Linked DNA regions of Rattus norvegicus. The protein of the gene in region 1 interacts with the protein of each later gene in a pairwise test. Links are inferred from orthologs where the notes say so. Each region holds a gene or a part of one and is shown in the gene's direction. Other genes may lie near its edges.

Evidence for each region.
Region 2: the proteins of Tcl1a (region 1) and Prtfdc1 interact in binary tests that used the Homo sapiens proteins (3 or more experiments, as listed by UniProt). The two-hybrid records come from large-scale screens. The link is inferred for Rattus norvegicus from reciprocal best matches to the Homo sapiens genes TCL1A and PRTFDC1.
Region 3: the proteins of Tcl1a (region 1) and Ttc33 interact in binary tests that used the Homo sapiens proteins (3 or more experiments, as listed by UniProt). The two-hybrid records come from large-scale screens. The link is inferred for Rattus norvegicus from reciprocal best matches to the Homo sapiens genes TCL1A and TTC33.

Annotation. Positions count from the first base shown.
Region 1 is NC_086024.1:129,890,795-129,900,922, reverse strand, and holds the start of Tcl1a (T-cell leukemia/lymphoma protein 1A), read left to right. Parts: upstream 1-5,166; 5' UTR 5,167-5,227; coding exon 5,228-5,347; intron 5,348-9,220; coding exon 9,221-9,391; intron 9,392-9,750; coding exon 9,751-9,798; 3' UTR 9,799-9,810; intron 9,811-10,128. UniProt on the Homo sapiens protein: Enhances the phosphorylation and activation of AKT1, AKT2 and AKT3. Promotes nuclear translocation of AKT1. Enhances cell proliferation, stabilizes mitochondrial membrane potential and promotes cell survival.
Region 2 is NC_086035.1:88,556,290-88,566,622, reverse strand, and holds the start of Prtfdc1 (phosphoribosyltransferase domain-containing protein 1), read left to right. Parts: upstream 1-3,881; coding exon 3,882-3,929; intron 3,930-10,333. UniProt on the Homo sapiens protein: Has low, barely detectable phosphoribosyltransferase activity (in vitro). Binds GMP, IMP and alpha-D-5-phosphoribosyl 1-pyrophosphate (PRPP). Is not expected to contribute to purine metabolism or GMP salvage.
Region 3 is NC_086020.1:56,002,321-56,012,347, forward strand, and holds the start of Ttc33 (tetratricopeptide repeat protein 33), read left to right. Parts: upstream 1-5,149; 5' UTR 5,150-5,214; coding exon of another isoform or gene 5,215-5,249; 5' UTR 5,250-5,341; exon of another isoform or gene 5,342-5,355; intron 5,356-8,244; exon of another isoform or gene 8,245-8,293; intron 8,294-10,027.

The DNA of each region.
Region 1 (10,128 bases):
CTATAATAATAATAACCTTTAAACTTGAGTACACTGTTTCCAATTTGAGTTGAAATCCACCCCCTCCCCCACCATGGCAATGCCAACACAGAGGCACAGCATGGTCAGAGTACACTATGTCCCAACATGGAGCCCATCAGACAGCTGAGGCTCCTCCTGACAAGAGGGAGCTATGCCATGCGGCTCTGCCCATTTGCTGTTTTAACCCCCAATAATGCGAATGTCTTCACACAGACTCAGTGCCCGGCAGAGCTGCTCTTTTCTGATTCCCTGCTCAGTCCTCACCAGCATCTCTCTTCCTTAAACAGCTTGCTTAAGTTCTTCACAGCCTGTCACCCGTGCTCACATAGAGACAGATATTGTGCATGTTTTCTAACATATGAATTATTTTAAAAACTGGCTTGCCGTACTTTTTAAAAAGCTTTCAACTCAGCGTTCTTTTCCGTTACTGGTTTTTTAAAATGCACTTCTCCATGGCCATAGAAATTTTTTTTTTAACATTTTCCTTCCAATGAGTTTAAAACAGAATTCTTGACTTGCTCATCCTCATGAATGAATGGTGTAGATAAAATATATATATATATATATATATATATATATATAATGCCTGAAATGAAAGCGTTGCTAGCTGAGATAAGTCACATAACAACTACTCTCAGGGAGTTAATTGCTAACTGAAGAACAGCCAGTGTAAGTACACCTCCTGGAATGTATTAGCTGAAAGACAGACAAGGACAAACCTAAGACATGGAGGGTAGACTCAGACATATCAACACTCTCTTTAGAAGAACTGCAAACGAGGAAAAAGAGAGAAAGAGAGAGAGAGAGAGAGAGAGAGAGAGAGAGAGAGAGAGAGAGAGACTACATAAAGACAGCACTAGCTAAGAACTTTCTAGATCTTAGTTAGGTCTCATATGCTAGAGCAGGCTACTCCCAAGTAAGAGCTGCCCTAGACAGATCAATCTGGCTTATCAGGGATTGGGAGGAGTCACCCTCATTCCCAGAAACAAGAAGTTGAACTTGGAACATTTGCCACGCCCTTGCAAAGATTGGGGGCTCCAAGGCCAGGAAGCAGGGGCGCTGAGTACAGGGTCAGCAACCTGAAACACCTGTGTCATGTGACTACAGACTGAACAGATGGAGAAAGTGCCATTCACGTTCATGTCAAAGGACAAAAGAAAGGGAGTGTGGGAACGCAGAAATGGTAATAGCATTCCTTAGTCTAATACTATGTGTCTTCCCAAACTTACCTCTAGCAGCATGCTAGACATGGTTAAATTTTAGAAGTGTTCTTCATATTTACTTTTACATTTACTTATTTCTTCCTTCCTTCTGAGTAGTCCTCTTGCCTCAGGCCCCCTGGGTGTAAGGATTGCATGCCTGAATTGACGTGCCCGTGAAGTGTTCTTACTAAAGACAGATGACCACCAGCAGTGACCTCTGCTGTGTACCGGAGTCTAGCAGACAGGGAAACTCAATGAGACAAAAAGACAGAACTAGATACTGAGAGAAAGACTGACAGACAAAAAACGGATATATAAGGAGGGGGGGTAGAAAAACGGTTACAGATAAACTAACCATTAAAATTAAAATGGGAGAGTCGAATATGCTAAATATGAGAACACCACTAAAATTCAGTAGTGTGCCATCATTCCAGGAACTAACATCAAAACCACAACAAGCCTAAGACCAGGGTTCCAATCTCGAGCACTCTTGTAAAGAGCTAGGCATGACTGCTGGTGCACATAACCCCACCTTTAAGAGGTGGATACAAAAGAATCCTGAGAACTTGCTGGCCATTAGCCTACATGGCAAACTTTCAGTTCAGCCAGAGAGCATGTCTTAAGGCAATACAGGGAGAAGAGGAAGACACCAGAGGTTCCACTCTGGTCTTTGTATATATCTACACAGGCACCCACACCTCTAATGTGCATGCAACACACACACACACACACACACACACACACACACACACACACACATTCACACACATACCATTCAACAAAAGTATAAAACAATATAACTATGCCAAACAAAAATAACGCTTTAATGAAGATGTTGTTAAATCCCAATAAAGGCTAGTTTCTGCCTGATGTACACACTCAGTAAGATGGCAATCAAATCCTCCCCAGACACTAAATGCAAAATGCAAACACCCCTAGGCAGTTAAAATAATTTTGAAAAAAATAAGAAAGGCAAAGTCTCCCTGGTATTCAAAATTCATAAATGATTTATTCAGAAGTGTGGTTTTTATCATAGAAATGCAACAGAACAGAGAAAGCTCAGAAAGAGACCCACTTCTACCCAGAAACTTGGGCCCACTACAGCCAGAGGTATCACTCACTGGCAAAGTTTGGATTAGGGTGGCCTTGGTTACCAGGACTTTCCTCTAAGAACAAACATTTTGTGTAGTAGACTTGAGTTTGACCTAAAACGAGAGAACTAAACTCCTGTGTCACAAGGAAATGCAAAAAGCTTGGTGCTTTGCTAAGAGTGTCATCTCCCCCTTCTGAAACACCTCCATCCACTACCCCAGCACACCCCTGACCCCCTCGTTCTGCCCAGGAATCACCTGGGGTTCTTGTTCCTGTGGAGTCTGACTCCAGAGGGCTGGGAAGACTCACAACCCCATTCTTTACGAGCGCCAGGTGATGCTGCGCGGTTAGCCGGAAGGACCATACTTGTAGTCCGGAGGCTCTAGAACGGGTCCTCCTTTTGGCCACTAATTGGAATTCCTGACTAGGGCGTTCCACAAAATGCTTGGTGCAAAAACTTCCTGCTAAAAGCTATACAGGCAGGGGTTGGGGATTTAGCTCAGTGGTAGAGCGCTTGCCTAGGAAGCGCAAGGCCCTGGGTTCGGTCCCCAGCTCCGAAAAAAAAAAAAAAAAAAAAAAAAGAAAAAGCTATACAGGCTTTCCTGAGCTGGTATCAGGGGTTTCGGTCTCTGAAATGATCTGTCTGAAGGATCCGAGGAGGAGGAGCTTCTGCTCCTCATTCATCGCAGCCGAAGCCAAACTAGCAAAGGGCTGACCAAGTTCACAGGTGATAGCGGTCAAGGCGAAAGAAGACCTGAGGCAGGACGCCAAGATGTCAGAGTTCAGGGGGCCTTGCAGGATGGCTGCTTTGTGAAGTCCAGGCGCTTAACGCGTGAGAATTCAAGGACTAAGAACAGAAAGATTCAAAAGGGAACAGAAAATTCTAAAACTCTGGCTGACAGGCTTGGAGCCCTGAAATCTTAGGCTCCTCCCGCTTGAGTCCACATAATAGCTATTGTTCCCCGCTCCCCGCCCCCCCCCCCGCTCCTCCGCCCCCCCCCCCGTTGTGAAATTTACATTTTAAAAGTATCAAAGTGGACACTTGCCCCACGCCCGGATCCGCCTGTTTTGTTATTCTGAAACCTTTCTGAATGAAGCACCACACAAGACTGGGGTCTACTCAAGCTCAGTATCGAAAGGCCTGAGTGCAAACTTTCAGAAATATTTTCAGAGAAGAAAAGGGACCGGAATCCTAGAACCCTCGCTTTCTCCAGCACCACATAGGAAAGCAGAGAGTGGAGGAAGAAAATCAGCAGATTTCCCTGGGGCCGTGTCTGTGTCTGGATTGGGCCATCCTGGCTTCTGGGGGACTCTTTCCCCTTGCCACAAATGCTGTGCCCACCAGCGGGTTAGTGAGAAGGCTCGGCGTGTGAAAGTGTTTGCCACCCAGCCTAGGACAACCTGAGTTCAATCCCAGGGACCTATAAGGTCCTACAAGGACCTACGATGTTTTTCTCCGAGCCCTACATGGCAGGCACACCCAAATACAAACACAAAATAATGAATTAAAAATAAGTAATTGGGCTGGAGAGATGGCTCAGCGGTTAAGAGCACCCGACTGCTCTTCCAGAGGTCATGAGTTCAATTCCCAGCAACCACATGGTGGCTCACAACCATCTATAAAGAGATCTGGTGCCCTCTTCTGGTGGGTCTGAAGACAGCTACAGTGTACTTGTATATAATAAATGAATAAATCTTTAAAAAAAAAATAAGTAATTATCCTCCTGCTAAGGCTGCACTCACCCAGAACTTCCACACCAAGCTTATTCCAAAAGTCTTCATCTTTCTACGAAGTTACCTGGGTTTGGAGACAGTCATCTACAGGGAAATGGGCACAAAAGCAGCTAGTCTGAATTCTGAAGGCCAAGGTCTGCGCTTGAAGGGCTTAAGTCTTTTCTTTGTTTCTTTTTCCGGTTAATCTGAACCCACCAGGCTGACCTCAGGCCATTTTGACACTTCTGGGGGATTGACCTTCCGAAGACCACAAATGGCTTCCTCCGTGAGTCCTCAGTGAGGCCAAGGCTCAGATGCTAGCTGAAGGGCTGTTTGAAGCATCCAGCCCAGAGTTGGGTTTTCCATGTTTTCCATTAATTTCTTAATTGCCTTAATGGGCAGGCGTTACTGTAAAATAATGAAAGTTGGTTTTCCTTATTTGTTTACAACGAGACAGTTTTGGTTGAGCAACTCAGAGACTTTCCAAATCCATTGATCTTGGGTGTAGGGAGGGTTTCTTTTTAAGTTTGGGTCTGGACTGATGCATTCTCTAAGTCGGAGGACAAAGACAGTAAACCCATGTTTTCAAAAGTATGTTTTGCAAGACTTATTAGAAGACCACAGCCTCATCAGAGCCATGGAAAAAGTCATGAGCGGAAGAGGGAGGGGACTGAACTTTGCAAAGGAAACTGCCTGTGACACCCAAAAGGACTGGCTGAAGGTGATGGAGAACCGGACTGGTTTCTGATCCCAGGAGATATGTAGATGGACCTCACTCTGGGTGTTCTGCCATGGGGGTGTGTGTGGCTTGAGCAGTCACACAAAGTAGCTAGGACCGTGGGGTCTCACCATAAAGGACGCAAAGGGCTGTTTTTCCTGACAGGTCATGGATACCTTTCCGGTGGCCGGGTGTACCTGGAGAGAAGCAACATCTCCTGGGGGCCTTGAAGAACCCTAGGTCTGATGGGTCAGGTCTGCAAACGTAGACCTGGTGGAAGTCCACTTGAGTGTCCTGCATACCATCCTTGTGGTTCGCCCCACCCACACTACGCTGCCCCGCCCCGCCCCGCCTCGCTCCAGGGGGCACAGGCCCACACCTGGTGGTGATAAATAGCAAGTTTCTTATGCTCTCTGCTTAGGAAGTCGCTTTATCACGGACTGGCATTGCAATTTTTTGCTTCTTGCTCCGACCGGATGCCATGGCTAACCAGCTGGCATACAGGCCAGAGACACCCCCACACCCCGACCGCCTGTGGCTCTGGGAGAAGCACGTGTACTTGGATGAATTTCGTCGCAGCTGGTTGCCGATAGTCATCAAGGTACCAACCGCCTTGGGGCTAGCAGGTCGGGCAGCAGGGGTATACCCTGTCTGGGCTTGGGAGTCCTGGTAACAGGAGACCAGAGTACAGCGGGTCCCTTGTGCCTGAAACAGGAGGACTAGGGAAACCCCAGATGAGTCGGGCCTTGTGGGCCTGCCTGGAGGAGGGTGGGGGCACCCCGAGTTCAGTGAACAAGCCCCTCTCACACATTGCCTGGGGTGTGTGATTATGATTTGGGGTGAAACAAGGCTTCCCTAAACCATAAAATTGGGTAGCCAGTAGTATCCACGTTGGTAATAAGACTTAACTTTGTTTTGCGTGTGGAGTCCTCGGCATGGGTCTTAATGAACATTGGTGCTTTCAAAAGAAATCTCTTCTAGAGGTACTTTCCAGCAGAAAGTATTCCACTTGTAAAGCCAAGAGAAGCTATAAAAGCAAAATTAAACTGCTGAGACGTTGCGTGGTACGCCAGGGCCTGAGAACTGGCTCCACTCCGGCAAAGTTGGGGATTGTGAGCCTTGGGAGTGACTAGTAGATGGTGGGGCTTCCTGGCAGACTTGGGGTGCTGCTAGTAAATGGTGGAGCCACAGTTCTGGGCTCTTAAATTTACATTCTTGCTGTCATTTTACAACGCTAACTTTACATATATCTAGTTTTTTTTTTTTTAAACATTAAGTCAGATGTGTGAAGACAACATGGGTGGCTATTTCTTGTTAATATCCGGTTAATGACTAGCTTTTCATGCAAACCGTGAGCCAACGAGTGTTCCAGAGGTGTGGTAGATGCTGTCTGAACAGGAGGAGCCTGGTAGCGAACTCCAAGGCAGGGTTTATTTCCCATGACTGAAGAAGCCGTGTATGTGTGCTTTAATAAGGAAACAGGATAATTTGTAACAGTGGTTAGATTGTTGACTCAGGGGCTGTGAATGGTGGAGCTTACACACCTGGCACCACAATCTGACTTAACAGATTCAACTGATCTCGTCGTCCGCAGATCATTACACAGGAGTGGTCTCACGTTGGGGGAAAAGTGCACTTGTTAAACACCTGAGAGTGCTTAGTGTAAATCCCAAACACAGGTCTGCACTGAGGGCATGCAGGGAGTATGGTAGGAGCCCTATTCTTGGGAAGGAGGTGCAGTGGGGAATGGGGTAACCAAAGTAATGATTAGGCTGGCAGATGAGTCCTGTGGGGGAAGAAAGTAGGCATGGGGGTTGGGGGCGGGGGAAGTGAGTTGTGCTGTGGAGAGGGGGCGTCAGCACACTGTGAACTCACAGACTGTGGTCGCCTGTCACATTTTGAGTCGTCTTGTTTCAAATTGCTTTCTCTTCCCCTGCACTGCTGACGAGCAAACCCAGGGCTCTGTGCAGAACAGACGAGAACTCTACTGCACAGCCACAGCCCAGCCCTTTTGTACAGGTCTTCAGTTTTGAGACTTGGTCTTAGCTGCTTAGGTTGACCTTAAGCTCCCTTTGTATCCCAGGTAGGCCTTGGACTTAGGATCCATCCTCCTGCCTCAGCTTATTGAGTAGTAGGCATTGCAGGCCTGTGCTGTTTGGTCCCACCAGGTCTTAACTGGTCTGCCTTGTATGGTTTGCTTGTACTGGGTGTGTGTGTGTGTGTGTGTGTGTGTGTGTGTTGGGGGAAGATGCTTTGTGTGTTTAGGTGGTGAATTTTCCGTTTTGTTTTTTCCATCCCAAATCGGTGGATAAAACTCATTTTCAGGAGCTGGTGAGGTGGCTGAGACCAGGTTTCTCATTGTCTTAGGGTTCTCTAGAGCCATAGAACTTACGGGAGAATTGGTCAATGACTTAGTCTGTAATCCAACTCTCCAACCATGGTCAGTAGCAGCTGTGAATGGAAGTTCAAGGTTCTAGTGGTGGCTCAGTGCTACAAGGCAGGCAGACAAAAAAAGAGACCCTCCGTTCTTCCAGTGTCCTTATGTAAATCTCCAGCAGAAGGGGTGTCCCAGATTAATGGTTGTGTACTCCCATGCCTGGGTCAGGTACTTGTTTTGTCCCAGATGACCTTGAACTCAGAGATCTCCTTGCCTTAAGCTCCTGGGATACATAGCCACTGTGCCTCAAGATCCAGGTTAGAAACTTGTATCTCCCAGCCTCAAGATCAGGATCAAAGGTGAGCCTTCCAATTCTGGATTGTAGTTCATTCCAGATACAGTCAAGTTGACAACCAGGAATAGCCACTACGGCCACCAAACCCAATGACCTGAGTTTGATTTCCCAGGATGCACATGATGGACAGGAACTGACTACATGTGGTGCCTATGTGGTATTCTCCCTTGATTTCAGCACTTGGGAGGCAGAGATAGGTGGAGCTCTGTAAGTCTGAGGCTAGCTTGGCCTGTAGAGCAAGTTCCAAACTGGCAAGAATTAGATATGATGAGGTCCTGCTTCAAAACAATGAATTTTAACTCCTGTCAGTTAATAAAACTGTATGTTTCATCACTACTCTAACGTGGTTTTTATGTAGTGTTTGTTCTTTATAGACCTACATTTGAACAGAGGGCTGCCCAAAAGGGAGCTCGCCCTTCACAGATTTGGTGAGGCTTGCTGCGTAGACTGTGAGAACCCCACAAACCAGGCATCACATTGTGGCTGGGACGACATGGATCATGGAGGGGTGTGAACAGAACAGTGGAGGGAGGCAGAGACACTTCTGGTGTAGGCTTTGTGGATTTCTGTGGGCCCTGGACTCCCTCTGCCCATGAAGAGAAAGCATTGGGAATCTAGCAGCCATGACTTCCATAACCCTGGCATCTGAAGACAGTAACGGAGGATACTGTTGCCATAGCCCAGAGGAGCCATGCTAGTGAAGGAGAAATGTTGCTGTCGCCAGATTCTAAGTGTTAGAAATGAGTGTGTGTGTGGGGGGGGGTGCAGGGTGTCCTCAAGAGAATGATCACACAATCCAAAGACATGAAGTTGTATTCCTGCCAGAGTGGTCCAGAGCCTTACACCCGTTGGTCAACTCCATGCCTATGTGGTTGAGTGACTCAGAGCTGCACTGTTGGTCAGTGAGCGAAGCATAACTTTGAAAACAGATCGCAACCTTAAATGCATACTTAGATCTTAGAAAACTTCGGGCTCTAAGGAGGGATTTTTGCTCATGGGTCCCATGCCAACCTCTTTAGAGGTGGTGGCTCCTTGATCTCGTTTAACCCTCTGATAGGAAAGACAGTGCATTTCACTTACAGTTTCCACAGCAGGTCCATGGACCGAGACCTCATTTAAAAGAGGACACTGGACAAAAAGATAACCTGGCAAGGCTGGGTAAGGTTGCCGAAGTGTTCGTCTTGTAAGTATGAGGATGGCTATGGAGACTGCACTCAGGAAGCAGCTACACGCAGATCTCTGGAGCTGACCAGCCAAACCATCCAGTTTTCATTTGGTTGGTTTGGGTTGGGCTTTGGTTTTGTTTGTTTGTTTGTTTTCTTGTGAGGTGTTTTTGGTGAACTCCAAGCCAATTAGAGATGTTGTCTCAATAGTAAATAGACGAAAGAAAAAGTAGATAATGTCCAAGAGATGACACCCAAGGTTGTCCTCTCTGCTGTGCATGCATGACCCTCCCCATACACACTCTTGGGACCAAACCGGAGGGCTGCATGGTTTACCCTAGCAACAGGAGGTTGGCAGGAAAAGAGCACCCTGAGGATGACTAAACCCAGGTCCAGCCAGAGTTCCTAAGATTGTGCATGGGCTATAGAGTTGGGTCCAGGGTTGGTGTCTGTGCTCAGGCTGTGGGGATAGCCCCACGCCCCCCGAGTGACAGAATGGCTGCTGGTGGTGTGCTCAGAGGAGCCCAACAGTAGTCAGCAGGAGGCAAAGGTTGTGTTCTTTCTGTTCTGCCTCTGCAGAGTAACGGAAAATTCCAGGTGATCATGCGACAGAAAGATGTCATCTTGGGGGATTCCATGACCCCAAGTCAGCTGGTGCCGTATGAGCTGCCTTTAATGTGGCAGCTATACCCTGAGGAAAGGTACCGAAGCAGTAACTCCGAGTTCTGGCAGATAGTGTACCACATCAAGGCAAGCACCTCTTACCCCAAGGACTGAGTGGGCAGTCTTGGGTGATCCTGGTCTCTGGTCTTGGCATGGGCTAGCTCTATATTCCCTCAACCCTGGCACCAGAAGCTAATAGAAGGGGAACTAAATGCAGATGTTTCTCTAAGGGTTGGATAAAAGAAGCCATCGTCTGAGGTCTTAGCCAAACCCCTTGTCACAAGGAACCCTCTTGTGGTAGTCACTGACAGTCCCGTTGAGAGGGCTAGCCACCTCACCTCGGGTCCCAGTACTAACCCAGGCTGAGGAAAGCTGAGCCAGAATGAAAGGGGAATTCTCAGGGCTGGTCTGACCACTCCTTTGTCTCTCTCCTTCTCTACCCTCAGTTCAAAGATGATGAGGACATGCTACTTGAACTGTTGGACTCTGAGTAACGTTGAGACATGGTGAGTGCCCCAAAGCTCCATCTGGAGGAAGGAGGGCCCTTCTCTATGAAAGCTGTGACAGCCCCTCCCCAGCAGCTGTCCTCAGAGTGCCCAGAGTAAGACAGACTTCCTGGAAGTGTCCATGTCTCTCCTTTACCACCTGAGGAGCTCCAGCTACACCCATGTTTACAGGGCCCCATTGTTCACCATCAGTTGTCTATTAAGAGATGACTGCTGAGCCATCCCACCATCTCAGCTGGGGATCTGCAGATAATTACACACTGAAGCAGGTTTCTCCATTTTTTTTTTTCTTACCCACTCCCTTCACGGTGGTGCTGT
Region 2 (10,333 bases), on another chromosome or scaffold:
CTGGTACTGGATTTATGCATGGTTGTCAGCTGCCCTGTGGGTGCTGGGAACCAAATCCAAGTTCTCTGTAAGGGAACTCTTAACCACTGAGCCATCTTTCCCCAGGCTCTTACATAAGTTTTAAAGAGTAATCCCTAGGGTCTGGAGAGACGGCCTAGTTGGTAAGAAGGCTTGCTGCTCAATCGTGAAGACTTGAGTTCAAATCCCTGCAGCCACATATAAAAAATAAAATATATCAAAATAACTGTGTATGGCTGTGCACACTTGAAACCTCGGTACTGCCTAGGGTGGAGCCAAGATGTTCCTGGGGCTTCCTGGCTACCAGACCAGCTCCAGGCTCAATGGGAGATCTGTGGCAAGGGAATAGGGTTGAAGAATGACAGAGCAGGATACACGGTGCCCTGCTCTACCCTTCAGGTATGTGCGCACACACACAAACACACACACACACAAATGCACACACACATCAATTTCCTATCAGTTTTCATATAATAATTGCATAAATCTTTCCTTTTTATTCTTTTATTTTATACATATTTAATTAAAATAGAATTACATCACTTATGCCCCTTCTGGTCCTCTTTTCAGCTACTCCTCAGTCCCATCCTAACCTCCTTATTCCCTCTGAATTCATAGCCTCTTTTACCTTATTATTGTCACATACATTTATATGTATATATACATATATATTTATATACAAATACAGCATTCTGAGTCCATTTTTGTTGTTTGAATGTATATGGTCTTAGGACTGACCACTTTGTATTGGATAACCAATCCAGGGGCTCATTCCTGAGAGAGACCATTGAATAACTAATCAGGAGGCTCATCCCAGGGAGAGGCAATGTCTCCTTTTTTCAGCAATCAAAAACCTTTCTTTGTTCATGAATTGTTTTTTTCATGGCATCTCAAGCAGATAACGTTACACTTTTTTTTAAACATTTTCAAAGGTTCTTCATGAATGTTTTCTCATGTTAACCTCATTATCACATGCAGTGCAGAAATGCCTACCCCTCCCCCCTCACAGAGGAGAGAATTGAATTGTGTTATACATTTATCTTACTAGTTTAGACTCATGTGCTAAAGACCTACAGGTCATACTAGAATTGAAACTCCTATCCAAAACTATTTCAGAACCTTTATTACAGAAATTTAAAAATATGCCTCTAAATCTTCCTACTGTACGATTAATTCTAAAGCCTTGACAGAAACATTATGGCTCTGGTCATTGCAAGTATAATTTAATATTATATCACATTCATGTGATCCAGAGTTATCAATCATAGTCCAACAAATACAAAATATAACAGGAAAAATACAAGCTTATTATTTTAAAGTTTATTTATGATTCTTTATAAAATGTCCTACAGTATTATATATAAAATGTTCTAGAACGTGAATTTATAAGAGATTCTTGTTGTCCTTCAAGCAAGCTAATTTTTTTCACTGAATTCATTGTTGTTTATGTCTATAGAATGGTCTAGAACATGAATTCATAAAAGTGTTGGGGCAGAAATCTCGGCTTGCATCTGGACAAACCACAACAAGCCAACATAGTTCCACGTGGAAAGGTTTAATGAGAGAAGAAGAGTAAAAAAGGGGAGGAGTAATGGCCGGCCATGAGCACGTGGAGGGAAGCGGGGAGGGGAATGGGGAGAGAAGAGACAAAGGGGAAGAGAGCAAGAGGACAAGAACAAGGAGCAAGAGAGTGAGGAGGGGACAAGCAGCCCCTTTTATAGTGCGAGGCACAGCTGGCTGTTGCCAGGCAACTGTGGGGCGGAGCATACCTGGCTGTTGCAACTGTGGGGATGGAGCTTACACAGAACACCAACAAAAAGAGTCTTCTTGTCCTTCAAGCAAGCTATACTTTTTTCCAGAAATTCATTGTTGTTTATGTCTAAACGTATGGGCTTTTGAAAAAGGTCTACCTGCCATTTTTCAGCCAGCGAGCATCCTAAACACATGCTGAGACGCGTGCCCTGCCCTGAAAAATATTTTGAAGTTCCCTGCCGCCATAATTCTTACTATGACTTCACAGGGAGACTTTTGTGGCTGAGTCTGACATTGAAGCAGTTGGATACTCGCGTGATGCATCTTCCAGCAGGGTTTGTGAACCACCCATAGCCCCACCTTAGGTCTGTACCAACCATCGGGAAAAGTGTGGCCACTGAACCGCATTAACATGTTTCCTGCACTCTAGAGTTCAGTTGTTACCATAACAACAGTACTTTTCAGTTCCTGGAGTTTCTTTTTAAGATTCATTTATGTCATTTCATTTCATGTACAAGTGCTTTGCCTACATGTAGGCAACACCTGCCTGTCTTGTACCCACAGAGGTTAGAAGCGAGCATCAGATCCCCTGGTACTGGAGTTACCGTAGGTGGTTGTGAGCCACCACTTGAGTGCTGAGAGTTGAACCCCGGTCTTCTGTAAGAGACGGAAGTACTCTTGATCACTGAGCCATCTCTCTCCAGATCAATTCCTGGAATTTTCAATAATATTGCTTTTGAATATTTGTTTGGGCCCATTTTTTGAAGAAATGAAGTGGAAAACAGGTGAGAGGCAGTAGACTGAAACTATTTACCTGTGTGCTAGAGAACATCACATTGATGCAGCCAGCACCAAGCCCAGGGACTAATGTCAGGGAGCCCACACCTTGTACCCCTCTTCTTCCACAGTTCGGCTGCTTAAACATTAACAGCCAAAGTGCTGAGCATGGCTGGTCCACCAAAAATAAGTACAATATTATTACACAATTATTCCAATTCAGGGCAACATGAATTGATAGGTAACTTGTTCCCTTCAAAGCAACACAATCGGTATTCCTCTTGCCAATGTGTGCCAGAAAACGAAAATCGAATAGATCTTTTTGGCACTTGATCTTAGCCAAAGAGTGAAGAAGCCATTGTGTTGAGGCGTGCGCGCGTGTACGTATGCATGTATGTGTGTGTTGCTGTGTTTACAACCCCCGTGGCCTTTCACATCCTAGGCAAATGCTCTATCATTGAGCTATACTCTATCCTAGCAAACATCTTTTGGAGAAGACAGAGTCAAAAGAACTATACCCATGTATACCCTTTATTAAACCCAAAGTGGGCCGTGGGCAGGCTCTGGCAAGATGAGGGAGACCAAGGACTATAAACAGAAAGCAGGACCTTAGAGGAAAGAACAAAGGACCAGGTCGCTGGGCTAGAAGAAACCTGGGATTAGGGGTTGGTTTAACAACAGATTCATAAAACAAGGCTTTCTAATCAGAGCAGAGCAATTGCCTTTAGCTACAACCTAGGACAATTAGAGTAAAATGGTAAATCAGATACAGTATTTTGTAAAAAGTCCCTGCCCTGGGCTCATCGGATCACCAGGATTTGGTCGGAGGAAATGCCGGCTCGTGGCGCTTTCCAACTCCTGGCAGGGCGCCAAGATCTGAAGTCCTCCGGGATACTCCGGCCCACTTCCAAAGCCCAGAACGCGCTGCACTGCCTCTCTTTAATGCATTGACTGGGGACAAATGTGCATTTAAAATCTGGCAGGGAGGAGTCTTGGAAATTGCTGGCCTGGGGGCTGCAGCGATGGGCTTTGAGAAGGAAAATAACAAGGGACGGCTTTCTCTCCAGAACGAATCGCAGGCCTGACCCATATCCCCGCGGGGTGCGGAGCCGGCAAAGGGGCAGGCGGGGGGCCGCCAGGGACGCTCCCCGGAGCGCGCTCAGGTGCATCAGGCGCTGCTCCACAGCTGCTCCCGCGCCGCCCCGGGAATGGGCCTCGACTGTAGCCCCAGCTTTCCCGCCCGCAGGCTGGGGGCGGGGCAGCCCCAGCCACATCCCCCCCCCCCGCCCCCACATCCTCCGGGCGCTGTCCGTCCGGCGTTCCCAGCGAGAGACATGGCCGGGAGCAGTGAGAAGGCGCCAGACTCCGGGCGAGGCGTCGTGGTAAATGCGAACTCCGGATTCCCGGCTCCCTTAGCTCTCTCCCCTCCCCTCTCCTCCCTTCGGGGCACCCCTCCACTCCCGCCCCCCAACCCTTTAGCTGACAAGCGTTCGGGAGAGAACCGGCCAAGGCTTTGTTCCTCCTCCGGGCGGAGACCGCTGGTTTTCTCGCATCCAGGCCTCCCTTCTCCACCCGGTCTGACGAAACTCCTACTAAAATCACTCCTTCATCCAGAGTTCCCAATAACTCCTCCCTTCCCACCCTCCCCGCGGGTTCCTGGCCTGGAAGCCAGCCTCCTACCGGGTCCCCACTTCTGCTATCCACAAGGACTCTAGCCTGCCAGCCGGGGTTTAGGAAGATCCCCAGCACGCAGCTCTAGTGGCCTTCCTTTTAGCACTGCCTCCTCACTTCAGTGAGTTTTGAGTTCTGTTTTGAAAACGGCCACTGAGAACTCACTCTTCAGGGCAGCCAAGGTGCAAAGTAGCGCTAGTGAATGCAATCGGAACTCTGAATCTGGGGCGCGGCTCTGCCGAAGCCAGCAGCTAGAGTGTCCTATGCCTTGTCTGTGACGGAAGACAAACTTGATGTGTGAAAAACCCAGTAGTGTGTCAGGATGGAAGTGGGGCCAGGTCCAAACCTCTTCAACTTCAGGGATCGTTCATTCAGGTGTCAGCCCGAGGGCTCCCAGCTCCCACAATATTGAAATTAAACTCTAGCGGATGGTAGTTGTGAGTCCAGGATGGGGTGAAAAGGTGTGAAGGTGGTGGGCGGGGCTGATTTACCATTAAGATCCTCTTTCCAGAGCTCAGCGTGTAATTCGCAGCTAATCTGTTTATGGAAATGAATGGATTTAATTAGAATGAGTGGGTTGGGAAGGAAACACCTCTCAGTTAAATAGAACTGTTCAGGTTGAAAGGTGGGGCTCAGCTCTCAATTAAACAGCAGGACCTTCCTTCCCTCAAGGAGGAATGCCTTTTGTCTGCCGTGCCAGGTTCTGCTCCTACACCTGGTAACCAGATAAACTCTTCTTCCTGGAACTTGCATTCTGGGAAGGGGCACAGGGAAGCCCTGTGAAAACACAGTCTGGATAGTTCAGCCAGCCATTCCTGGAAAGGGGAGGGGAGCAGTGTCTTTACCCATATGATCAAAGAGTCTGCAGTGACATTTCACCCAAGATCAGAAACAGAAACGGAAGGTAAACCATGTGAGGACCCATGGCACAGAGACACATGTCAAGGGCAGAGAGGAGAACACAGTTTCTGATTTGTGCTTTTACAATAAAAACACTCCAGTCGCTGTGGGTATGATAGACCCGGTGGGAGGGGGTGAAAATATGAAAGATGGGGGTTGGGGATTTAGCTCAGTGGTAGAGCGCTTGCCTAGCAAGCGCAAGGCCCCGGGTTCGGACCTCAGCTCTGGGAAAAAAAGAAAGAAAGAAAGAAAGAAAGAAAGAAAGAAAGAAAGAAAGAAAAAAAGAAAATATGAAAGAGGAAGTCATTAAGCTAACTGCCTCCCAAATGACATCTTTAAGGTTCGCAACCTGAAAGTCATACTTGAAACGACTCCAGAATGTACTAAGGTAGATTTGGAAAACCATTGTCAGGTTAGTTTGGGGGATAAATGAAGAATGGAATAAAATAAACTGGGAGAAATAAAATCAACTGTTAAGAACAAACGCCCGGGGTTGGGGATTTAGCTCAGTGGTAGAGCACTTGCCTAGGAAGCGCAAGGCCCTGGGTTCGGTCCCCAGCTCCCGGAAAAAAAGAACAACAACAAAAAAAAAAAAGAAGAAGAAGAAGGAGTGAAGAACAAACGCCCGGGGGGCTGGGGATTTAGCTCAGTGGTAGAGCGCTTACCTAGGAAGCGCAAGGTCCTGGGTTTGGACCCCAGCTCCGAAAAAAAGAACCAAAAAAAAAAAAAAAAAAAAGAACAAACGCCCGGAACGCCCCCAGATGTGAGAGGCACATGGTGGACACAAAGCCCACCAAGAATGAAGCGCTGGATGGGAGAAAGCAAGCAGGAGAGGAGTCGATGTCTAGGGAACAGTTTGACGGAAGTGGACTAGCCAGGGTCATGAGATCGTCAAGAGTGTCTGATGTTGCCGGAAGAGCAAGTCGGATGGGGATGACCAGAGGCCATTAGTGAGGAGCACCTTTCTTCTTCTTCTTCTTTTTTTTTTTTTTTTTTGGTTCTTTTTTTTTTTCGGAGCTGGGGACCAAACCCAGAGCCTTGCACTTCCTAGGCAAGCGCTCTACCACTGAGCTAAATCCCCAACTCGAGGAGCACCTTTCAAATAGCCACCTCGTGGCCAGTCTACTTACAGTACCACGGCAATGTGGAACGCCTTTCAAATTGTGAAATCTAGAGTGCCACTGTACCATAGATGCTAGATGCTTCCAAAGTCAAGTGGCACAATCCAGCTTGAGGTGTAGCTCATATAAAACCCATCCCCATCACCACAGATTATTAAAAATCAAAAGGAGATAAATCTAGATGTACTCATAGGATGCTTAGATTACTAAAGTCTAAAAAGCCTAAAATGAGAAAAACTGTAAACACAATATTCCTATCTATTTGTGTCTACAGAGGCCTTATGAAGGACCCATGGGCATAGCAAGAGGTCAATAAGGAGAGAAGAAGCTAGAGTGAGGCTTGGGCACTGTGAGTAGTTGCTGAACTGCCCAAGTGCCCCCTAACGTTGACGATAACCAGTGTATGACAGAAACACCCTCTGCATATGTTAATTTCTCCAATAAGACTTAGTAAAATTCGAAGGAAATTCAGGTGCTGAAGAAAGGAAAGGGTTAGGAAAGCCAGAGGCAAGAAGGATGTAGGCAAAATAGCCAGTCCTTAAGGGTAGGGTAAAACAAAAATCAAAAAGGAAGTTATAACAATAAACAGACCTTGTAACTCCAGAGGTAGGGCTACCTCAGAAGACTGGTAGGTTTATGGGAACGTGCGTGTTGCTGGTGTAGAATTAGGATTAAATAGCTGAGTGACGCAATGGAAGGAGCTATAAGATAGACTAGTTAGAAAGGTCAGGAAGGCAGTCTCCAGACTCTCATCTTAGAGTAATGCACCCAACGTGTTACCAATGATTAGGAAGGAAAATCAGGGTCGGGAGAGCTGTGATGCTAAAGATGGTGAGAGGAATGAAGCCGGGAGATTTAATCATGACGTAAGTACAGTTTGTGTGAGAAAAGGGACTATTGAGAAACTGGGAGAGAGCAAGACGTAAGGATAGGGACCATGAGCTCACAGCAAATGGGCACGCTGACACCGAGTTCCCAAAAGTCAGGCCATCTTAACAGTCATCTGTGGAGAGAGAAGGGAACCACGAGCCTTTGTCACATGCTGCTGACGTGTTGGCAATCCTCAGATTCTAGAAGAAAGGGAGGCATGATTGTGTACCCACTATTGAGCCTGCCATTTTCTAATGGTGAGTTCCAAACTCAAGATCATACAGATGAACCCAGTTAATCAAATAGGAGGATAAATAAGAGGAGGAAGAAGCCTGCAGAAGAGGAAGGCACTGTGAAGGAAGTTTTTGTGGTCTATTGAGCTTTTTCCTTGCTTTAGCAGAAGAACCTGGGCCTTCCTTGAACCCTTGTATCCCTGTATTGTAAGAATAGTGTTGGGCTCTGGACCTGGGCCTGCTGATGTTGCTGTCTGGGGTTCTGTGCTGAAGGGAGGACAGCCATAGGCATGAAAACCAATGACAATCGTCTGTAGGGAAGGTAGGACTAGGTGCATGGCCCTTGGAGCGGGACAAGGAGGCTTGAGCTCTGCCCACATGTTTCTGAACTGTTTTGTTGTTGTTGTTGTTGTTGTTGTTGTTTGTTTGTTTTTTGCCCTGGGGAGAAATATCGAAAGGAAAACAATTAGAAAGTGTTCAACATAGCTTTAAATGTGACCAAGAGAGTCAATGCGTTCTGGATTTGGATGTGATATAAAATGACTCAGTTACTGTGTTTGCCGCCTTTCCAGCTTGGAGATGTTTTTTGCCTCTTCAAACAGAGAAATGATTGTGAATAAAGTTAGAGCAAGTTATCAGTGATCCTAAAACTATTTAAGATTCTTTGCTTTTTCTTTTTTGTTTTAACGTTAGTTTAGCCACTACCTAAAGTTCAGAGGCGCCCTGCAGCTCTGAATCCCTCCAGGATTAGACTTACACACACACACACACACACACACACACACACACACACACACACACACACGCCATTTGTGTGCAAAGTCAGCAAAACAGACTTGGAGTCTCATCTCCTATTGTCTTTTGTCTCTGCAGCGAAAACACCATTTCAGATTAACTAGAAATAATGGCCACGTGTGATCATGAGAACAGTTCTAGACACGTGTATGTATTCCTGCTGGATTAAAATTTACTGCTTGACCTAGAGTAGTAAGACTTTGGCAAACAGCACTAAGGTTTTCCTCTAACCGAGTTACAATGTATTTATATAAATGATTATGTGACTTATATAGACAACGGGTGCTTCAGTATACTTACACTGCATAGCACTATAGACTACATGCATTGAATCTTATATTCATTATCTGTCTTATTTAACATTTTCATGTGAGACAGGCCTTGACTTTGTTTTAGAGACAGTAATATGTCCCAGGTCCCATAGCTAGCAGACTTGCCCGAGAGGAGTCAGACTTTGACATCCACATTGCTCATGTTGCCCTGGGCTACTGTCTGCTCTGACTGTTTTCACGTATAGGTGTGTTTCCTAATTTTCCTATCATCTTTTCTTTTTCTTTGGCATTTGTGTGTGTGTGTGTGTGTGTGTGTGTGTGTGTGTGTGTCTGTTTATGTGTATATATATATGTATGTGTGTCTATAAGTATGTATGTCTGTATGTATATATTTGTGCATGTATATATGGGTATGTGTATAGTATATATGTATGAGTGCATATGTGTGTATATTATGTATTTATGTGTGTATATGTGTGTATGTATTTGAGTATTGTGTATGTATGTGCATGTACGTGTATGTGTATATGCATGTATGTGCATGTATATGTGTATTTGTGTGTTTGCATACATGTGTGTATATGTATGTATGTGTGTGTATGTATATGTGAACATAATGTGAATATATGTATGTATGTGTGTGTTGTGCATTTGTTCAGTATTTGTTATGCATTAGTCTTTGAAATCTATTTGATGTCATTCACTCCATAGGTTTTATTTTATCTTATTTAAAGAAAGTGGAATCAGGGCTGGGCACGGTGACACACACCTTTAATCCCAGCACTCAGGAGACAGAGGCAGAAGCAGATGGAGCTCTGTGAATTAAAACCTCAGCCTGGTCTGCATAGCTAGCTGCAAGCTAGTCATGGCTGCATAGTGAGCTCCTGTCTCAAAAACTAAAGAAAAACAAAAGGGGAGGAAGAAAACTACAGTCTCCCAATCTCGTGGCAGTAAAAATGAGAGAGTGGAACACGGCCTTGATATACAGTGTAGTCTCTCTGATTCAGAGCAAAGAGCTGTAAGGATTTTCATGGAGTGAGGAACAAGCTCAGGAGACCACTAATTACCAGCACTGTGAGTGAATGAGCTCCAGGAAGTGGAGTGGGTGCCATTGTGTGGTTCAGAAGGAAAGCCAGAGAAGGGCTTGGCTGATCTCCCTGGACAGTCTTAACTGGGCCATCTCAGAGACTAAATGTCATTCAGGTACAGCTGTGAGGCCACTGACAGCCACTCTGGTTACAGCAGGCTCCTGGAATTTACAGGGCGGAACCAGATTTGCTCCATAAAAGTTCACCCGTCACACCAGCCAGCTTGCTGGTGGCGGTGCAACAAATAGGACACTTTTTGACTATGCAGATGGTGCATACTCCTTGCGCCAGTGGGATGGCTATGAATTTCCAGAGCTTTGAACAGTAGCCATCTCTATCACAAGTTGACAAATTGAGGTTGGAGTTCGGAGGTAATGACTATCTCATTTATTTGATTGTTGAACATCTTTTTGGTACTTACCAGATCTCAGGTCAGTGGTCTGGGCATGAAGGATTGAACAGAAAGTAAGATAAAATGTCTGCCAGAAGTAGCTCACATTCCAGTGGAAAAGACAAGTCAGAACAGACAGACAGAAACACCCACACCTACACACACCCTCGCTTATACACACACTCTTATACAACATGCACACACATTCATATATGCATATATATACATACACACTCACACATGCACACACACACACACACACACATCTAGTAGTAGTAATATACACTATGAAGGAAAGTGAAATCAGATATAAAGGATACATCAATGGGATGAGGAGGAAGGAGAGTGCTGGTTTATATTTGTAGTCAGAGAGGCCTCTCTGTAAAGGTGACATTGAATGAAGACTGGGGAAAAAGAATACATGCCCTGTGCTCATTTGCTGGAA
Region 3 (10,027 bases), on another chromosome or scaffold:
TCATACCTGTGTATGTGCCCTCTGTGTGGGGCTCACAGATGTCACTTATGCTGTCTGAGTGCAGTGCTGTGTTCCCAATGTGTAGAACAGAAGACTGCATTTTTAAAGTTACAGATTTGTAAATAGAACTAAGTAATATCTCTATAAACTGTTTGGGGGGACGGGGCACAAAAGGAGGAGCCAATTAAATAGGACCTTCTAAAATTTGTTAATTTTGTAAACTTTGCTTCTTTTATAAGTTATTCTGTGATTCCTTTTAGTTACTGAGTTTTATTTTGAAGATATTTAAATATTGCACTTGTATAAAAAGTACGATAAATGCAGACTGTTGCAGTCAAAATTTTTTTTAAAGCTAGGATATCTGAAATGACAACTTTCAGTTCAGTATGTCAAGCCAGGACAGAATTTTCACAAATGTATTGTAGTTTGCAAATTCTTATACTGAAAATGTAAGGGGAGTCAATGCAAATGATTTTTAATCTTTTTTTTTTTATCTTTTCAGCAATTTATATTTTTTTTGTGATTTTATGCAATCATATTTTTACTTCGTCTTGACAACTGAAAGCTGTATGATGTTTTTGCCAGAAAAGTACTGTATACATAGTTTTAAATATAACAGATTTTGCTGATATGTAAAAATTTTGCCATTAAAGTTGATTTCTCATGAAAGGAACTTTTCTATCAAGTTGGGAGACACGAGAGCTTAATATATCTAATTTAAAATAATTTCACCGAAATAAACACCATTGCTTTTACTTTGATTATATTTTTTCTTAAGATGCTTTTGTAGTGTTTTGGAGTTTTAGATAATTTTATATAAATTCTCTCCCTGCCTTGCACCATCCTTTGGATATTTGATACCATTCACCTATGAACTAAAGTGGCTGGGTGTGTAAGATCTGTATTCCAAGTGGCATCTTGGGAAAGAAAACCATGTTGTCTAAATTCTTCTTAACTCCTCCCCTCCACCGTTCATTGTGGGCTCTGACATGAATGAAATTCCACACACAGCCTAACTGTAAGTCGGTTGTTGGGAGGAGTCAATCATTGTGGTCTATGTATGTTTGCCCAGAGTAACCTGATTTAGAAAGATGGCATAATAAAGAAAACATTCATTTTTTCATCTGTTACACTGTCTTTTCTTCTTTAATCAAGATTTGGGGTGGGTGTGGGCACTTGTTCATCGCTGAGTATCTGGGCTCTCTCATGTACTGAAATATAGAATAGTGCTTGGTTATATTTTCGTATTCAGAATGCTGATTTTGTCTCATGAATTTGTATAGATTTCATCTAGAAATCAACCATGGAAACAAAATATTAGGATGCAGACAGTGAAGTTGAGGAAGTGGCTGTCACAGACCAATCACAAACACAGGACTTGAAGTCCATCGCTGCTAGAATTCAGTTACTATTTAATCTAGAACTCAAGAGTTCTAGAGGCTTTCGCTAGATTGCTAGCTTTCTAAATATTTAATTAGAAAAGCTTATTCAGGATGTTATGAACAGCATGTAAAGTTCTTTTGGAGAGCTCATTTTTCTAGACATTCTCTACAACTTTACACAAGAAACTGGCATGTGGGGGTTGGGGATTTGGCTCAGTGGTAGAGCGCTTGCCTAGCAAGCGCAAGGCCCTGGGTTTGGTCCCCAGCTCTGGAAAAAAAAAAAAAAAAAAAAACTGGCATGTGAAAACGGCCATCCAGGGGGGCTGGGGATTTCGCTCAGTGGTAGAGCGCTTACCTAGGAAGCGCAAGGCCCTGGGTTCGGTCCCCAGTTCCAAAAAAAAAAAAAAAAGAACCAAAAAAAAAAAAAAAAAAAGAAAAGAAAAAAAAGAAAACGGCCATCCATTAAACTGTCCTGTTATGAATGAGTAAGCCTGTATTTGTTGTAAAGGCCAGTCAATTGTGCCAAAAATTTAGAGGCTGCTCAATGACTTGGGAGGCATCGCCAAGCCTTTACCAGAGTAGAGTGCACCATAGTTAAGCTACCCTAAGAGACTAGGAAGAGGAACAGAGCCTCAAGCACTATGTATTTAATCATATGGTCACCATGAGTCATTCATGACATATGTCATCAGGACAGTGAGATACAGGTCCTGCTCCAACCATCTTGTTAGGGATGGATGGAGATAAACAGACACCAAAGAACAAAAATGTAAGAATGGACCGGGTAGATACTCAGTGTTTCAGAGTTACAGTGAATGTGACCACATGAACCTCCATCCAGATTAAAGATCATCACCTCCCACAGAATGTCTATTCTGATTAATATAACCATGAGGTGCCACAAACCAACTCTGACATGGGAAGACCTCCACAGAGGTGTGAACACTAAGGGTAGAAAACACTGAAGCCCGTTTTAGAAGCTGGCTCCTAAAGTCATGCATTGGTTATTTTGAATATACTGACTTACTTGACAACTCTTACAAACATTAATGAATGCAATCAAATTATAAATAAACATTGCATCTGAAGTCACCATTGATCTCAAAGTCTAGGCACACCGGGAAGCTATCAAGATTATTATATAAGGAGTACAATTTTGTCATTGGTAACAGACATTGTCAACTTTTTTTTAAAATGAGGTTCTTTTCTAATAAAGTGTGTGTGTGTGTGTGTGTGTGTGTACGCCATAGCACACTCCCTGAGGATAGATGACAACTGTCTTTCCAAGCAATAGGTTGTAGGGGCGGAAGTCATGTCATGGGGCTCGGCAGCAAGCATCCTTACCTGCTAGCCATTTCACAAGCCCCCTTGCTTTGTTCATTTCAAGAAAAGGTCAAAGACATGGATAATCAGATTGTCAGCAGTTCAAAAAAAAAAAAGTTGTGTTCCACAAAATCGTGGAACTTTATAATAGCCTTAAAGAACTGATTTTATTGGGGTTAGAGAGATGGCATTGACTGCTCTTCCAGAGATCCAGAGTTCAGTTTCCAGCAACCACTTGGTGGCTTCAAACCATCTGTAAAGAGATCCAATGCCCTCTTCTAGTGTGTCTGAAGACAGGCACAGGGTGTTCATACATAATTTTTAAAAAATGAAAGAAAAAAAGAGAATTGATTTTATTCTGATGGGTGTGTGTGTGTGTGTGCAGGCACTTGCAGAGGCCGGAATGCAGTGTTGGAAATGCCCAGAGCTGTAATTACATGGAGGCTGTAAGCTGCCTGATGTTGGTGTTGGGAACTGAACTTTTATTGGTCCTGTGGAAGAGCAGTGGCCAGTGCTCTTAACTGCTCAACTCTCTGTCCAGTCATCATAATGGAATCTTTACTCACTTCTGCAAGACATCACACTTCAGTGGCAGCAAAAGCACCTTGGTATCGTAGAAAAATGAATGCCATTATTTAGAAATAAATACCCTTGATGAAGCACTGATATTTGGCTTATTACAGTGATCCTGGGAATCAGGAGTCTTGCCAGGTAACATAGCCAGGCCTCATTTCAGGAAGAACTTGTACTTCAGAGCTTCACCTGTAGGGGTGGGATAGAGGACTACATCACTACCATTAGAGTTTGTCGTCAATCACCTCAAATCGACGTAGCAGTTCTATCACTGTGGCGTTTTAACAGTTGGTACCAATGCTCACTTTTGTGAAAAATGGCAATATGTACGAACTTTGGGTATGGAAGGGCCTCCTAATGCTTGGTTTCTGGTGAACGCCAGAAGAGGGCAACAGTTCCCCTATAACTGGAGTTACAGATTGTTTTGAGTCTTTATGCTGAGTAGGGAACTGAACCCAGGTCCTCTGCTAGAGCATCAGGGCCAGCATCAGTGACTTTAATGCCAGTGTTGGGTAAGAGTTTTCTTCCAGGGAATATTTGACAGTTTGCAGAGAAACAAGTTGGTGGTCCTTTTGATGAGTTGTATGTAGGGAGTGTTTTTGTTTGGTTTCAGACCCAGGAACAAATGGCTTAGGTGCATATTTTACATACCAAAGCAGACCTGCTTCCAGGCTCTTCCAGAATCCCTCAGTCCCTACGTAGTATACACTGCCTCCCAAACCTGAATTTTCCAGCACAGGGCCTGGGCTGCCATTCCCCCAGAGGATCTTCACTATATAACCCAGACATTTTGTTTTCTTGTCCCCCACCCCACCCCCTTCTCTCTGCCTGAGAGCTTTCTTTTTTTATCTTCCTCTTCTCTCTCCCTTTTCTGGCCTCCTTCCTTGGGGCCAGTGAACTCACCTGCCCAAGAGCAGCTTCTCAATAAACCTGCATTTTTATATATTTTAATCTGACTCATTCTCCCAGTGGAGAAATAAGTTATCAGTTTACCTCGATAAATAACTAACCAGTAAGAAATGCTGTGGTGAGTTGAAAAAGGGTGGTCTCTATCAATGGACCTTGCTTTGTGTAGCACAGCTATGTGGATAAATTTACCGAGTTTTTAGTTTCCTCAATGTGTACCGGTGTTAGCATCTGCCTGCTAATTTTCTTGTAAGAAGGGGACAGGTGTTACTTTCAGGCTCTGCTGTGGATTCCTACAGGAAGTTTGCCCTTCAGCCTGATTCTCCTTGATCAACTCTTAGTTAAGGTTTCTGTTGCTGGGATAAAACACTATGACCAAAGTCAACTTCGGGAGGAAAAGGTTCAGCTTCTAGTTCCTCAGTCTGGTAGGAAATCAAGGTAGGAACTCAAGCAGGGCAGTAATTGGTCCTTTAGGCTTGCTCAGTTTGCTTCCTTATACGGTCAGACCACCTGCCTAGGTGTGGCACCGACTATAATGGGTTGGGTCCTCCCACATCAATCGTTAATCATGACAATGCTCACATAGATTTCTTTGTAGGCCAATCTATGGAGGCATTTTCTCAATTAAGATACCCTCTTCCATAGCTATGTCTATGTTTGTGTTAAGTTGACAAAAACAAACTAGCACAGCTCCCCTTTGTACTTATTTTAGCTCAGTTTTTTTCCTCTTCTGCATCTCACGGACCCTCAGCGGCTAGGCCTGTCTAGGCTAGGCTGTAAGCCATTTACCCGAGGACTGTGTGTATTGCAAAGAACAGTTGCATAGCTTTGACTCTCAAGCCTGGAGTCCACTCCCGGCTGCATTTAGAGGGTGCTAGGGTCTGGTGTCTTTACTACAAATCCCATAGGTCCGAGGGTGCCGCAGTGACTTCTGGGATCAGTGGTCTCGTAGAAGGGCGCTAGCGGGTAAGAAATTCTTCTTTTCTTCTGTTCGCTTTGCTGAACTGTTAGAACGTCCCAGGATGATTTCATGGGTTTTTATAAAGAATTAGGAAGCACAGGCAGGTAAGGCAGATTAGACTCCAGACAGGATAATTTCCGCTTCCGGTGCCATAGGGCAAGTGGAATGTAAACACGGACCACGGAGTGGCTTTCAGGTAACCGGCTACGGGTAGGCGGTAGGCGGCAGGGGAGAGGGAAACAAGGGGTGAGGGTGCTGCACGAGGGAGAGAGGGACGAGGGTGGCCCGGTGAGGTCCGCAGAGCCCTCAGGGGTGCCTCTGTCCTGGGCACGGGGCGCCGTGGCAGGGTTCTGTGTGCTGGCCCTGCGGCCTGAGGTGCTGTTATAGCGGGCGCTTATTTTTAGTGCAGCCGACGCAGGGTGCAAGTTTTGGATACTGGATTTTCCTTTGGTAGCATTTTGAGGTATCCGGGTCTCTTAATTCTTCACCTCCAGATTCATCTCTCCTGTTCTGAGAGTCGTTGTGACTCTCTACCTCCCGCCGGTGTTTTTCCATCTTGGGTGCCGCATCCTCTCACGCAGTCAGTACGAGAGGACGTTGACTCTGTCACAAGCACCCGGCTTGTGCCCGGGTAAAGTGTCAAGTCGAGCGATTGCTGTGGAGATCATTGTATGGGATTTTTAGAATACAGGTGTTTCGAATTTTAATGCCACGCATCAATTCTGTAGAGCACTTAGACTTTAACTCCAGATGAGAATTAACACCAAACCTGTACAGTTGTGATTTACTCACTTGGTATGTTATCCCGGTGGAAAGTATTTAGAAACTTGGCGCCTTACCTGTCCAAATACAGATCAACCAAAGCTCCTTCTGTAAGCGGTTTTAGTGATAAGTTAATTAAAAACACAACCTAGAGGCGCAAGAAGCGCATAACCTAAGATGAAAACAGTTTAGTTGAGATGTAAGTGGTGTGTTATACAATTCCTCCCTGTAGGTTGTATAACTCAGTAGCCTTGGTTGTTGTTCACAAAATTATGCCATTATGCCAGTTGATTTTAGGACGTTTTAATCACTGAAAAGAGGAACCCAGAAACATTAATTGACAATTGTCTGTATTTTCTCCCCAGCAGCATTTAAGATTCAGAATCGAGTCAGAGCATTACATTTTCCTTGGGGAAGATGTTCATACATGCCTTCCCTCCTGTAAGCCTGGTCAACTTCTATTCTTTAAAGCTCACTTTCCTGAAGCCTCCAGGGTGCATTGTCTGACAGGTCATTGGATCGCACTTGGTAGCACTTACCTGTATTGTATTTGAATTCAGTCTCCTCATCCACAGGCAGTTTGGGAGAAAATATAAACTTGGTATTGTCCTGGTAACACATTCATGCTTTTCACCTTAGTAGGTATGGGGGGTCCAGCCTCGACACAGGATTGGGGAGTTCTCAACTGGAAGCAGGGATATCTGGAAGGCGCATAATAAATATACACAGACTACTTTTGGGGTACAAATTGACAGGCAGTTTTTCAAGGCTTAAAGTTTCTCTTCTCTCTCACTCTTTGTTCTCTCTCTCTCTCTCACACACACACATCTCATGGGCAGGCACCTCATTCTCTCCACTCAGTCTCCACATGCTCGCACATGCTCACACATGTTCTCTCATACTCTCTCATGCTCCTACATGCTCTTTATATCCACCTCACATGCTCTCTTGTCTTTTTCTTGCCCCAGTCTTTTATTGATACCACAAAATCAGGTAGAAAAAAAGATATTGTATAATCATTGCCAAATCAGATTTAAAAAAATAACTACATCCCACGAAGAATTAAGAATTATGAAAGTTTCAAGCTTCCCCTATTCCCAGGCCTGTGACCAAAATAATAATAATTGCAAACTTATCATTATTTAAACTTTAACTTTTGACTTACTATACTTCAGATCTCAGAGCTCCAAGTTCTAGTTGCATTGTTCTGTGAAGCTCTAATGATAAATGACATGGGCAAAGCTATCAGGCAGTGGCCACAAAGAATCAAGTTAACCCTTAACTTAGCAGTTCTGCTAGCTTTTTGCTTCTGCACATTGCACACAATAACACTCCTCAGAGTCCCAGTGTTTTGACTCAGTTTTACTAGTGTAAGATTTTATGTATTCTATACTTGCCTATCCAGGAACCACTCTCAAATGTGGTAGGAAACTTATTTCATAACTTTAATAGATTTTTTTTCTTTCTTAGGGTCCCAATGTTGGCTCTGATTCATTTCCTAATAATTTCTTCAAACTTTCTTTGCAAGTCAAGCATTAATCTGGAACATCGTGCAGTTATTACATTGTTTCCAAGATGAGAACACAGCATGCACCTGGGCCATTAGGGCTGTGCTGTGCTGTGCCCCTATGCCTCAATTTCCAGTTGTTTAAGAATCATTACATCAAGGAACATCTAGTTTCACAGAACTTACCAGAGCAGAAGGAGAAAGAAGTAGGAAAGTCAGATAAAACAAAACAAATATGCATACCAAGGCCAACTGAAAGGCACTCATGCACAGATGAAATCTATACAGCCATTGTGCAGGGCTGAGGTTAGGAGAAATGGGTACTACCTTTTTTTACAAAGAGCTACTGTAGGCTACTTGAGATGTTGCTACTGTAGGCAGTACCTTATTACAGATGGCGGGTGCCCTGGAGGGATGTGTCTCCTGCTTCTCAGGATCCCAGACACCATCCTTTTTTACAAGGAGCTGCTGCAGGCTTCTGAGATGTCTCCATGCTGGCAGTCCCTGTCATGGTATGCTGTCCGTGATGCTGCTTGCTGTTTCTTCAGTATTATGTCTTTTCTACTCTCCACAAGGACTGCGTTAGATTTTTCATCTTTCCCGTATGCATACATTTGTTTGTTTATTTACTTTTCCTTTATGCTGAGTAGATGGCTACAACTTACTTCCCCGAGTAGTGTGAAATCTGGGGACATGAAATCCCTATCTGCTCCTGAACTTTAGAAGTGTCTTCTTGTCCCTCCCTCTTCAAGTTGGAACTTGTCAATTTCTGATGGTCTCTGCCTCCATACTCTAACAGCTTCATTTCTCTTTTGATTTCTATAGCCTTCTATTCAAGGTGTCTGTGGGGAAGAAGGAACATGCTCCGGAGGCAACAGGGTGTGTGACAGAGAGCCTCCCTCTGGGACCTAACCCGAATCTGACCTCAGCATTTAACAATAGTAGCTTAGGTTGGGAGATGGGGAGGGTGGTTGGAATCTCAGTGATTTGTTAACTTTGGTTTTCTCATTGTTCTCATCCTCATCCTTCCCCCTCTCCTAACAGATTTGACCAGTATTTAAAGTGAACACACCAGTAAACACACTAGGTTTTGTCATTAATATATCTGTTACACTGTCTGGTGCTCTGCATTGGTAATGTAGAAAGCAAGTTCCAAATTCTCATTACCTTCAGGAACAGCCTTAAATACAACAGAGCTACCACCACCACGGCCACCTCTTCTTCCTCCTCTTCCTCCTCCTCTTGTATTCTCATATCCTTTGAAGGCAATCTTAAGCATCCATTTTCCCAGCCTGTTCACTCTGTGCCTCTGGATTTGCTATCTATAGAAGCCACACTTTCATTTTTACACATGTCCTTGTTTTCTCCTGGGATGGATGTATATAAAGTGATGTTTCAGACAGAGGAAATGCATTTCCCCATGTGATGATGAGTCCAAGGAGGAGGCTTCCATAGTCCTAATTCCCTAGGACTCCATTATGTATCCAGGATTTCCCATAGTACATGGTTCAACTATATCAGACTATGTACTCACTGTTATGTGGTTGCTGTGATCTGTTACATTTCCTCTTGTTCAGTAGCAGGCCTGTGACCTACAATTCCTTCTGATAGCCACCCTCACTGTGTTGCTGTTCTCTTCCTGTTCCTTATATTCCACTGCAGTCATGTACATCAGTGACCTTGGTATTGCCACATACTTACTGCTGTTGTCCCTCCTCCTCCCTCCCTCTCATAATGTTTGTTGTTTGATAATTTCAAAAAGACCTGAGTTCATTGCTTTCTCCTTAGGGTTACAGATTCCTCCAAGAATGGATAAAATCTAACATGCTCCTGAATGCACACAGTATCTAAGATCCCCCCATCCCCGCCCCGGAGCTGAGGACCAAACCCAGGGCCTTGCATTGCTAGGCAAGCGCTCTACTACTGAGCTAAATCCCCAACCCCTGTCTAAGATCTCTATACCCAGTTGTAGGGATTACCGTGTATCTTAAAGCCCAGCTGTGTACTCATGAGTGACTGGGTTTCTTAGTCCTGTTGCTAAGTACTATCGAAGACTTCCAGAACTGACTTGTTCTACTACTCTTCCTTCCCTTAACCTTTGTATGTCATGCTAGGCTTACAAAGCCATTTTATATTGTTTTTAAACTTTTTTATTTTTGACTTTCCCAATAGTTTTGTTGAGCCATTCAATATGTAAACCTTGTAAAACTCTCCTGTAGTCAGGTGTAGTAGTGCCCACTTGTAAGTTAGCATATGTGAGGTAGGAGGCTAATGAGCTTGAGTTCATCCTGAGCTATTATTCAGAGTTTCAGGACAGCTGTATATATAGTGAGTCTTGTTTCAGAAAGAAAACAAAAACCACTCAAAGCATAAAAATTTGTATTAAGGAGAATTTCAATATTTATAAAAGGGGGAGAGGAGCAATGAGTCATCCATGCTTGTCTCCCAACTTCATCAGGGACCTTCGAAGTGATCTGTGTCACCAGCTCCATGCCATTTCTCACCATTAGTGACTTTGAAAGAATTTCTAGGTATCATATAATTTCATAGCAAATACATTGCTGTTCTTAAAGGAAAAGGCTTATTGAAATTCATACTGTTATTAAGACAACT